3 linked regions of the Callithrix jacchus genome follow. The protein of the gene in region 2 interacts with the protein of the main gene of each other region in a pairwise test. Links are inferred from orthologs where the notes say so. Each region holds a gene or a part of one and is shown on either strand. Other genes may lie near its edges. The genes, in order: CLNS1A, LSM2 and DNAJA1.

Region 1 (3,753 bases), on a different chromosome or scaffold from region 2:
GGCTCAAGTAATCCTCCCACCTCACCACCCCCAGAGTACCTGGGACTACAGGCACACACCACCATGACTGGCTAATTTCTGCATTTTTTTTGTATTCTTTGTAGAGACGGGGTTTTGCCATGTTGCCCAGGCTGGTCAAGAACTCCTAGGCTCAAGCTATCTGCTCATCTTGGCCTCTCAAAGTGCTGGGATTGCAGGCATGAGACACCTTGCCCAGCCTAAGAATTTTTTAAAAACAGATAAAAACTTGAAATGAGTTATACTTCCTTAGTGTGAGAATTGTATTGTGGTTATACAAGAGAATGTTCCCGTTCTTCTGAGATACAGGAAATGGAAAACAGGTCTGCAATTCTCAAATGGCTCAGAAAAAAAAAAAGAGAGAGAGACATAAATGTGGCAAAATGTTAATTAGATTTGAAATTTTTTTTTTTGAGACAGAGTCTCATTGTCAGCCAGGAAGAAGTGCAATGGCACAATCTTGGCTCACTGCAACCTCTGCCTCCTGGGTTCAAGCGATTCTCCTGCCTCAGCCTCCCAAGTAGTTGGGATTACAGGCACACGCCACCACACCCTGCTAATTTTTGTATTTTTAGTAGAGATGCGGTTTCACCATGTTGGCCAGGCTGGTCTTGAACTCCTGTCCTCAGGTGATCCACCCCACCCGTCAGCCTCCCAAAGTGCTGGGATTACAGGCATGAGCCACTGCACCCAGCCTTAGGTTTGAAATTTCTTTTTTTTTTTTTTTTTTAGAGACGGGGTTTCACTGTGTTAGCCAGGATGATCTCCATCTCCTGACCTTGTGATCCGCACGCCTCAGCCTCCCAAAGTGCTGGGATTACAGGCATGAGCCACTGTGCCCAGCTAGGTTTGAAATTTTTCAAAATGCAAAAAGAAATACAGGACTGCTCCTCAAAAGGAGTTATAATATTGAAAGAAGTGTCAATATACTTAAATGTCATGAATAAAAAAGGAATGCCTGGAACTAAAAATGTATCTGTGCCCCATCTTTCACCACTTATAAGAAACTGCTTTCCCCAATTATCAAAGATTTCCTTATCAATACTCAATATAGACTCCAGATTTTGTTTCTGACTGCTCCTTCCTACTTTCTCAAGTCCCTTCTTCTTCTGTGACCCACCTCTTAATACAGGTGTATCCCGAGGATTCTACACTTGGTCCTCTTCTCTTCTGGGATACCAATCCATTTCCATGAGTATACGCTAATACTTTCTCTAACGACTCCCAAACATCTCTCTTTAATATCACTTTCCCAAGACATATGTTTTTGTTTTTTTGACAGGGTCTCACTGTTATGCAGGCTGGACTGCAGAGCACAATAACGCCCACGGCAGCCTCCACCTCCTGGGCTCAGATGATCCTTCCACCTCAGTTTCCTGAGTAGCTAGAACTACAGGCCACCACCATGCCTGGCTAGTTCTTGCAGAGACTGAGTTTCACCATGTTGCCCAGGCTGATCTCAAACTGCTGGGCTAAAGCGATCCACTCGCCTCAGCTTCCCAAAATGGTGGGATTACCGGTATGACCCACCACACCCGGCCCAAAACACACTCATGTGTACAACTATTCCACACATGTCCTGACCAAACTCATTATCTGCTTATCACATCAATCTTGCTTTTCCTCCCATCCTTATGTCTTACCTCAATGACTGGCCTGAAGCCTAAGCCTTGATCAATGCCTAAATTTCCCTTTAAAGCAACAGTTCTTTACAGTTTTTGTAGTCTGGATTCTCTGGGAGGCAGAATTTTGGCCCCACGACCTTCACTTTCTGGTGTCACGCCTGTGACTATGTTATATTACATAGCAAAAGGGACTTCGCAAACGTAATTCAGCTTATCAGTTGACAGTAACATTGGTAGATTTTATCCTGGATTTTATAAGTGGTCCCAAAGTAATTATATGAGCACTTAAAAGTAGAGAATTTTCTCTGCCTGTAGACAAGTGATGGAGCAAAAGGGGAAGCAACAGGTATCTGAAGGACAGGAAGGATTCAATGTGTCATTACATACTTCAAAATAAAGAGGACTACAAGTCAAAAACAGAGACCTCAGTTCTACAACTACAGTATTTAAGGAGGATCTATCTGACTGTGAAAATACAAAAGTGCTCCAGGTGGTCAAATAAAAGGGCAATTCCTTCCAGGACCCCAAAACGGGAGACTAGTCCCTCTGCATATGACCCCTGTCTGTGTCGGGTGAAGAGGTGTTCCTCCTTAGTATACCTACAGAAGAAAATCTATATTGTGTAGTATCCAAAGTTTCAAAGTCCTCCACAATCTGCTCTGAAACTACATATCCCGCAGAAGGGACCACTTCCTGCATCTGTTCATCCGAAAGACAGGCACACTTCAGACCCTTAAAACGAGACCGTGCGTGAAGGGCAACGCAGGCGCCAGACCTCCCGTAAACAGGAGAGTTAACAGCAAAAAGAAAAGCAGCACAACCCATGAGGGGAAATTACGGCCGGAGAAAACAGAATGGAAGACTCCGGAGGAGCGCCAGAAAAACCGAGTCTTCCACCCAGTACAGGTATCCATGAGGCGTCCCAGGCACGCGCCCCCGCTCCCAACAGCCCACTAGGTCGCCCCTCGCCTGGCTCCTTCGCACCTCCTGCGCCAGCGAGGAGGAGGCCGGCGCTGAGGACCAGGAACCCTACCTCTCAGCGATGTAAAGGGTACCGGTGCCAAGGCCCTTCCCGTTCAGCACAGCCTCGGTGTCTGGCTGCTGCCGCAGGAGCCCCTCCGCCGGCCCAGGCGGCGGGAAACTTTTGAGGAAGCTCATAGCAGCAGGGAATCCCGCAACACAGGCCCTGAGGGAGTTGGGGCACAGCAATACACGCACAGCGCCGCCCGCCCCGGAAAAGGAAGTTACCCCGGAAGAACAACAGTCGGCCAGGAACCTGAGCCCCGTCAACCATAGAGATGAGACATTCTAGGAAAAGCGTCGGAGGTCGGCTAAGACCGAGTTGTTTGACCGCGGGACGGCCCTCCCTCTCTTCCTCGCCATTTCTGAGGTTCTGGGCTTCAAATAACCGAGAGTTCTGTGGGACTCTCTACCTCAAGGTTGTCACAGTGAAACCGCCATTGCAAAATTATAGTTGAGACACTGAAAGCGACCTATCCAAATCCATGTTGTTTCTAACCTCCAAGCTGTCCTTGTGCATTCCTGGGCATACTTTGAGAGGAACTTAGTTTATAGTTTAAAGTTTAAAACAAATGATGACAGCCTTTTCCCAAAACAAATTTCCTTCTTGCTTGGGGTCTGGACTGCCTTTGTAGGACTAACACATTAGCTACAAGATTTTAGAAATTATGGTTTAGATTAGAAATTACAGCTGGAGGCTTCAAGATTCTGACCCTCCCTAAACTGCACCTAAGATCGGCCCTTGCACCTGATGGATCAGCTGCCACCACCAGATGGATAAACTGGCTCATGTGATCTTGTGGCCACCCCCAACTTTTTTTTTTTTTTTCTTTGAGACGAAGTTTCACTCTTGTTTGCCCAGGCTGGTGTGCAGTGGCATGGCATAATCTCTACTCATTGCAACCTCCACCTCCTGGGTTCAAGCGATTCTTCTGCCTCAGCCTCCCGAGTAGCTGGGATTACAGACACCCGCCACCACGCCTGGCTAATTTTTTGTATTTTTAGTAGAGATGGGGTTTCTCCATGTTGGCCAGCCTGGTCTCAAACTCCTGACCTTCAGGTGATCCACCCGCCTTGGCCTCCCAAAGTT
Region 2 (3,753 bases):
CTCAAAAAAAATAAAAATAAAAAAAATAAAGGATAAACAGAAAACTAATGCCTGCACTGCTTTTAAATCTCCTCCCACTTGTATCTTTTATTTTAATCTTATTTCAGGACTTAGACTAAATGCTGTATTTTTGAGAGACTTCTCCCTGTCCTTCTAGCCCCGTAGAACCTTCTATCAGAGAGTCTATATTCTTCCTAATGGGTGCTTCTCATTTTGTAGAAATAACATTTGCTGTTTATGGCCTGTTCTTTTTTTGTTTTGAGATGGGAGTCTCACTCTGTCGCCAGGCTGGAGTGCAGTGGTGCAATCTTGGCTCACTGCAACCTCCACCTCCCGGGTTCAAATGATTCTCCTGCTTCTGCCTCCCTAGTAACTGGGACTACAGGTGCGGGCCACCACGCCCAGCTAATTTTTGTATTTTTAGTAGAGACAAGGTTTCACTATATAGGCCAGAATGATCTAGATCTCTTGACCTCGTGATCCTCCCACCTCAGCCTCCCAAAGTGCTAGGATTACAAGTGTAAGCCACTGTGCACCATGCCCATCCTATGGCCTGTTCTTTTTTGAGACACAGTCTCCCTCTGTCACCCAGGCTGGAGTAAAGTGGTATAATCATGGCTTGCTGTAGCCTCGACTTCCTGGGTTCAAGTGATCATCCCACCTCAGGCTGGGATTAGTCCCTAATAACTGGGACTACAGACATGCATCACTACACCTGGCTAATTTTTAAATTTTTTGTAGAAATAGAGGTCTCACTATGTTGCCCAGGCTAGTCTCAAACTCCTGGACTCAAGTGATCTTCCTATCTCAGCCTCCCAAAGCACTGAGGTTACAGGTGTGAGCCACCATGACCAGCCTAGTATTTACTTTTTTTTTTTTTTCCCAGATGGAGTCTCACTCTATCATCCAGGCTGGAGTGCAGTGGCACAATCTCAGCTCACCGCCATCTCTGCCACCTAGGTTCAAGCGATTCTCCTGCCTCAGTCTCCTGAGTAGCTGGAATCACAGGCGCCTGACACCACACCTGGCTTATTTTTGCATTTTTAGTAGAGACAGGGTTTCACCATCTTGGTCTGGCTGGTCTTGAACTCCTGACCTCGTGGTGACCACCCATCACGGCCTCCCAAAGGCTGGGCTTACAGGTATGAGTCACCTCGCCCAACCCGAGAGCCAGGGAGCCTGGCTACTAGTACTTACTCTTTAAACTATATAATGCTTTGTATTGTTTTCCAATACACAGCATAATCCCAAGCTTATCTGTAAATTTAAGGCACAAGGCACTTATTTTTAAATTTTTCTTAGAGATGGGGTCTTGCTCTATTGCCTGGGCTAGAGTGCAATGGAGTAATCATTGCTCACTGCAGCCTCAAACTCCTGGGCTCAAGCGATCCTCCCTCCTCAGCCTCCCAAAGTGCTGGAATTACAGTACTGAGCCACTGAGCCCTACCCATTTATTTCTTCCTTATATCTTCCACCTCTCCCAGCCTTCAAATAGTTCTCAAATTAAAGAGGTTCCAGGGCGTTGGGCACACCCACCCCCAACAGACTTGTTGGAACAGGTACCTACCTCAGGTCATTCTTGAGTTCCACGACCACATCCTTGCCCACAAGGGACTTGAAAAAAGAATAGAAGAGCTATTGGGTGAGAGGGGGAAAACCATCATGTGGGAAGGAACATGGTAGGGAGGAGTGTCCCTTGCCAGTATTACCAAACACTGGTATTGTGAACCCCACTGCATCTCTGACAGTTCTCAAAACTTCACAGGAAAGAATAATCGGCTGACAGAGGTGAAAGGCTGGAGCCTATATTATTCCACACACTGCATTGAGCCCATCACTTAAAGTTCCAGAGAGGCTCTGCCCTGCATACGTCGGCCCAAGTGTGCTCTCTCAGTCGGCCACCTTCCTGGGGTCCCTGCCCACTCCTTTCAATGAACTGCAGAAAATATCCCACCCCCACCCGCCGGAAGCCTGCTTGGTCTCCGGCAGATTAAGTGCTCTAAGGTCTAACTTTTCTGTCTCCCGCTGTCCCCATTGACTCTCTCTCAGGGTTGAGTTTTTTTAACCTCCCATGGAAAAAAAAAAAATTCCCATTTGCTTTCAGGTATCTCCTCAACGAACTTGAGGCACAAGACTAAGGACCTAAAACTCCAGCCCAGGGGGACAAAGGCCAGACTCCCCGCCCCAACCGTCCGAGCTCCCCGAGGGCACCACCTTTTGACTTCACAGTACCCACCATGGTTTTGGCGCCGCGGGCAGCGGGCCGGACCGGGAAAAGATCAGGCTGCCGCCAGCAGGTCTGGGGAAACCGAAGCGGGAGCCCGCGCGTGGGGCGAGGCGGGGCCGCGCAGGCGCAGCGTGAAAGGACGTAGACAGCTCCAAGCACTGAAGGGGAGAGCGCGGCCGACTTGTGGCTGGGGAGAGCACTCTGGGTAGAACCGAAGGGAGGAGGAAGCCGGGAAAGGGGCGGGGTTCCTGCATTCCGACTTCCTCCCGGGCTGGCCGGCTCCCATTGCGCACGCGCGGACCCGGGCCTGGGCTGCTGGGCGGGTGGCGGGACTCAGCTCCTCAACTCAAAGGATACTGTTCTTTTCCAGGATCCTGTCGTCCATAGCGTCAAGTCCTCCTGATTTACACACACTCCTAATCGAGAATTGTGGGGAGTTTGTGAAGATTATGAAGTATGCACTTTTCTATATTGGTTAAAACCATAAAATGTAAAAGTTTTGAATCTTTTTTTTTTTTTAATTTTTTATTGGATTTTAGGTTTTAAGGTACATGAGCAGAACATGCAAGACAGTTGCGTAGGTACACACATGGCAGTGTGCTTTGCTTTCCTTCTCCCCTTCATCCACATTTGGCATTTCTCCCCAGGCTATCCCTCCCCACCTCCCCCTCCCACTGGCCCTACCCTTTTCCCCCCAATAGACCCCAGTGTTTAGTACTCCCCTTTCTGTGTCCATGTGTTCTCATTTTTCATCACCCGCCTATGAGTGAGAATATGCGGTGTTTCATTTTCTGTTCTTGTGTCTGTTTGCTGAGGATGATGTTCTCCAGATTCAAACGACACAAACTCATAATTTCTGATTGCTGCATAATATTCCATGGTGTATATGTGCCACATTTTTCCAATCCAGTCTATTATCAATGGGCATTTGGGTTGATTCCAGGTCTTTGCTATTGTAAACAGTGCTGCAATGAACATTCATGTACATGTGTCCTTAGAGTAGAACGATTTATAGTCCTTTGGATATATACCCAGTAATGGGATTGCTGGGTCAAATGGAATTTCTATTTCTAGATCCTTGAGGAATCGCCACACTGTCTTCCACAATGGTTGAACTAATTTACACTCCCACCAACAGTGTAAAAGTGTTCCTTTTTCTCCACATCCTCTCCAGCATCTGTTGTCTCCAGATTTTTTAATGATCGCCATTCTAACTGGCGTGAGATGGTATCTCAATGTGGTTTTGATTTGCATCTCTCTGATGACCAGTGACGATGAGCATTTTTTCATATAAGTGTTTTGAATCTTAAATTAAGTTGAAAAAAAGAAAAAAGGGCCAGAGGCGGTGGCTCACGCCTGTAAGTAATCCCAGTACTTTTGAGAGGCCGAGGCGGGTGGATTATGAGGTCAGAAGTTCAAGAGCAGCCTGGCCAAAATGGTGAAAACCTGTCTCTACTAAACATACAAAAATTGGCTGGGCGTGGTGGCTCATGCCTGCAATCCCAACATTTTGGGAGGCTGAGACA
Region 3 (2,849 bases), on a different chromosome or scaffold from region 2:
TCAAGCAATTCTGCCTCAGCCTCCTGAGTAGCTGGGATTACAGGCACCTGCCACCACACCTGCTGGTGTTTTTAGTAGATGGGTTTCATTTTTGAGTTTTTAGTAGACAGGTTTCACCATGTTAGCCAGGCTGATCTCAAACTCATGGCCTTGGGTGATTTGCCCACCTCGGCCTCCCAAAGTGTTGAGATTACAGGCCTAAAAATATCTTTGGATAAGAAAGAACTACCCTTTTGAGAGTAAGAGTAGCTTTCTTAAATACCTCATGAGAAGAGTTAGACTGTTTCAGGACGGGTTTTAGTATTCAAAGTTAGTTTGCTGGATAGAACAATGGTGGTTATAAGTACAGTTTTATTTAATACAATCTTTTTTTAATGAAGCCTGACTTTTGGTCATAATCCTTGAACTCTAGTTGAGAGTGCGCTATGCACTGTGTTTTTCTGGGGAAAGTGAATCCATGATACTCTTAAGGAGCTAATGATGAAAACAGATTGAACTTTAAAAATTTCTTTTGAAGGTAAACTTCCCTGAGAATGGCTTTCTCTCTCCTGATAAACTGTCTTTGCTGGAAAAACTCCTACCGGAGAGGAAGGAAGTGGAAGAGACTGATGAGATGGATCAAGTAGAACTGGTGGACTTTGATCCAAATCAGGAAAGACGGCGCCATTACAATGGAGAAGCATATGAGGATGATGAACATCATCCCAGAGGTGGTGTTCAGTGTCAGACCTCTTAATGGGCCAGTGAATAACACTCACTGCTGGCATTTTATGTGCAGTAGTGAATGAGTAAGGATGTAATCATAATATGCTCACTACTTGCTCTTGTTTTTGTTTTAATCAACTATAGTAGTGTTTTAAAAAGTTAAATGAAGAATAAAGGCAAATATAAAAGCTCTGACTGCCCTGTATGTATGATGACTTCAGTGTGCAAAATGAAGTTTAATACCTGTAAAAAGTACTTTAAAAAGAAGTTCCCCTAGCATTGCTAGGCCAAACCTTGTAATTGACTTCAGCTATGTATGTGGACAAGCTTAGACTGAAATGCTAGGTATATGTATTGGCTTCAGTGTATGACCCTTCATTGTTAAGCTCTGAAAGTAAAACTGTACTTAACTGGCAATAAGAAAATTGTAGAGAAGTGTTGGTCTGTATAGTTCTTGTATTAAGTGGGAATCATTGTAATGCCTCTGCATTTATTCTATTGCCTCAACTGTTACTTGAAGATGGCATAATATATAATTTATCCTGTGGTATCAGTGATAAAATGATACCTTTCTGTAGGAGGGGTTTATCATAATATGCTGCTTCTTGAAGGCTTGCACTTCCAAAATTGTTCCTTCTGCTGTGCCATCCATATATATATATATATATATCCATATATATCTTGACCAGTCCTGGTTATTTGCTCCCCTCCTTGTCTGTGGACCATGATAAGCCTGAGTAGTGACTTCAGAGCTGGGTAACGTAGAAATTAAAGTGAAAAGACCTTTACATGGAGAAGTAATTTGCATGCGTAATATAGGAAGGTGTTCTTTAGGTATGTTACAGGATTACTTTAAACCATTTGACTTATGCTCCAAAGTAACTAATGTTGGTAGTATAGCAAATTATGAATAGCTTTAATTGTATGTTTAAAAGTCTCATATGTTCACATGCTTAAATCTGGGTATCAGAATTTAAGCAATTCTTGAAATGTATTGTTTCCTTAATATACTAATTACAAAGCATCTCCAATGTGTGTCACTACAGGCTTTTTTTTCCCAGATCATCAGTTTTGGCTTTTAACTAAGATACATAACTTGATTTTAGCTAGTCTAAATGAGTAATATAAAAACACTATTGAACTATACTTTTTTTTTTTTTGAGACAGAGTTTTGCTCTTGTTACCCAGGCTGGAGTACAATGGCGCGATCTTGGCTCACCACAACCTCCACCTCCTGGGTTCAGGCAATTCTCCTGCCTCAGCCTCCTGAGCAGGTGGGATTACAGGTATGCGCCACCATGCCCAGCTAATTTTTTTGTATTTTTAGTAGAGACAGGGTTTCACCATGTTGACCAGGATGGTCTTGATCCCTTGACCTTGTGATCCACCCGCCTTGGCCTCCCACAGTGCGGGGATTACAGGCGTGAGCCACCGTGCCTGGCCGAACTATAATATTAAAAAGGATGGAGAGTAAAGTGGAGGGCTGAGTAATGAGCCAAGAAGAGGGGGCTTAGAAAACTTTGCAAACATTGGAGTATGAGAAAACAAGTTCTTAAGAACACAAGTTTAAAAAGGAGAAAAACTGTTTAAAAAATAAAGTTCTCAAACCATCCATGTTTGTCAATTTCCTTTTTGTCTGTGCCAGACAGCCACAGCTACCCTAAAATTTGAGAGATGTGAAGCAGATGTTCAGGAAAGTATAATTTGATCAGTGTTGAAAAAGCACTTGTGACCCTTTCACTGAGCTTATATCCAAATTCTAAAAATTTCTCAACCTCTATATTAATATATTTAATATGTTTAGGGCCAGGCACGGTAGTGGCTCACGCCTGTAATTCCAGCATTTTGGGAGGCTAAGGCGGGTAGATCACCTGAGGTCAGGAGTTTGAGATCAGCCCGGCCAACATGGTGAAACCCATCTTTACTAAAAGTACAAAAATTAGCTGGGTGTGGTGGTGCGCACCTGTAGTCCCGGCTACTCTGGAGGGTGAGGCAGGAGAATTGCTCAAATCCAGGGGGCAGAGGCTGCAGTGAGCCAGGATCACGCCATTGCACTCTGGCCTGGGTGACAGAGCAAGACTCTGAAAAAGTATTATTTGTCAGTCTTATGGGAAACACATAAAAACCAGATACAACTTCACACC

The links.
Region 1: the proteins of LSM2 (region 2) and CLNS1A interact in binary tests that used the Homo sapiens proteins (3 or more experiments, as listed by UniProt). The link is inferred for Callithrix jacchus from reciprocal best matches to the Homo sapiens genes LSM2 and CLNS1A.
Region 3: the proteins of LSM2 (region 2) and DNAJA1 interact in a two-hybrid assay, tested with the Homo sapiens proteins (2 studies listed by BioGRID and IntAct). The link is inferred for Callithrix jacchus from reciprocal best matches to the Homo sapiens genes LSM2 and DNAJA1.

Annotation. Positions count from the first base shown.
Region 1 is NC_133511.1:62,962,259-62,966,011, reverse strand, and holds the start of CLNS1A (methylosome subunit pICln), read right to left. Parts: upstream 2,884-3,753; 5' UTR 2,802-2,883; coding exon 2,677-2,801; intron 1-2,676. UniProt on the Homo sapiens protein: Involved in both the assembly of spliceosomal snRNPs and the methylation of Sm proteins.
Region 2 is NC_133505.1:39,307,207-39,310,959, forward strand, and holds the start of LSM2 (U6 snRNA-associated Sm-like protein LSm2), read right to left. Parts: upstream 2,340-3,753; 5' UTR 2,240-2,339; coding exon 2,237-2,239; exon of another isoform or gene 2,105-2,236; intron 1,636-2,104; coding exon 1,568-1,635; intron 1-1,567. UniProt on the Homo sapiens protein: Plays a role in pre-mRNA splicing as component of the U4/U6-U5 tri-snRNP complex that is involved in spliceosome assembly, and as component of the precatalytic spliceosome (spliceosome B complex).
Region 3 is NC_133502.1:140,231,055-140,233,903, forward strand, and holds the end of DNAJA1 (dnaJ homolog subfamily A member 1), read left to right. Parts: intron 1-517; coding exon 518-736; 3' UTR 737-2,317; downstream 2,318-2,849.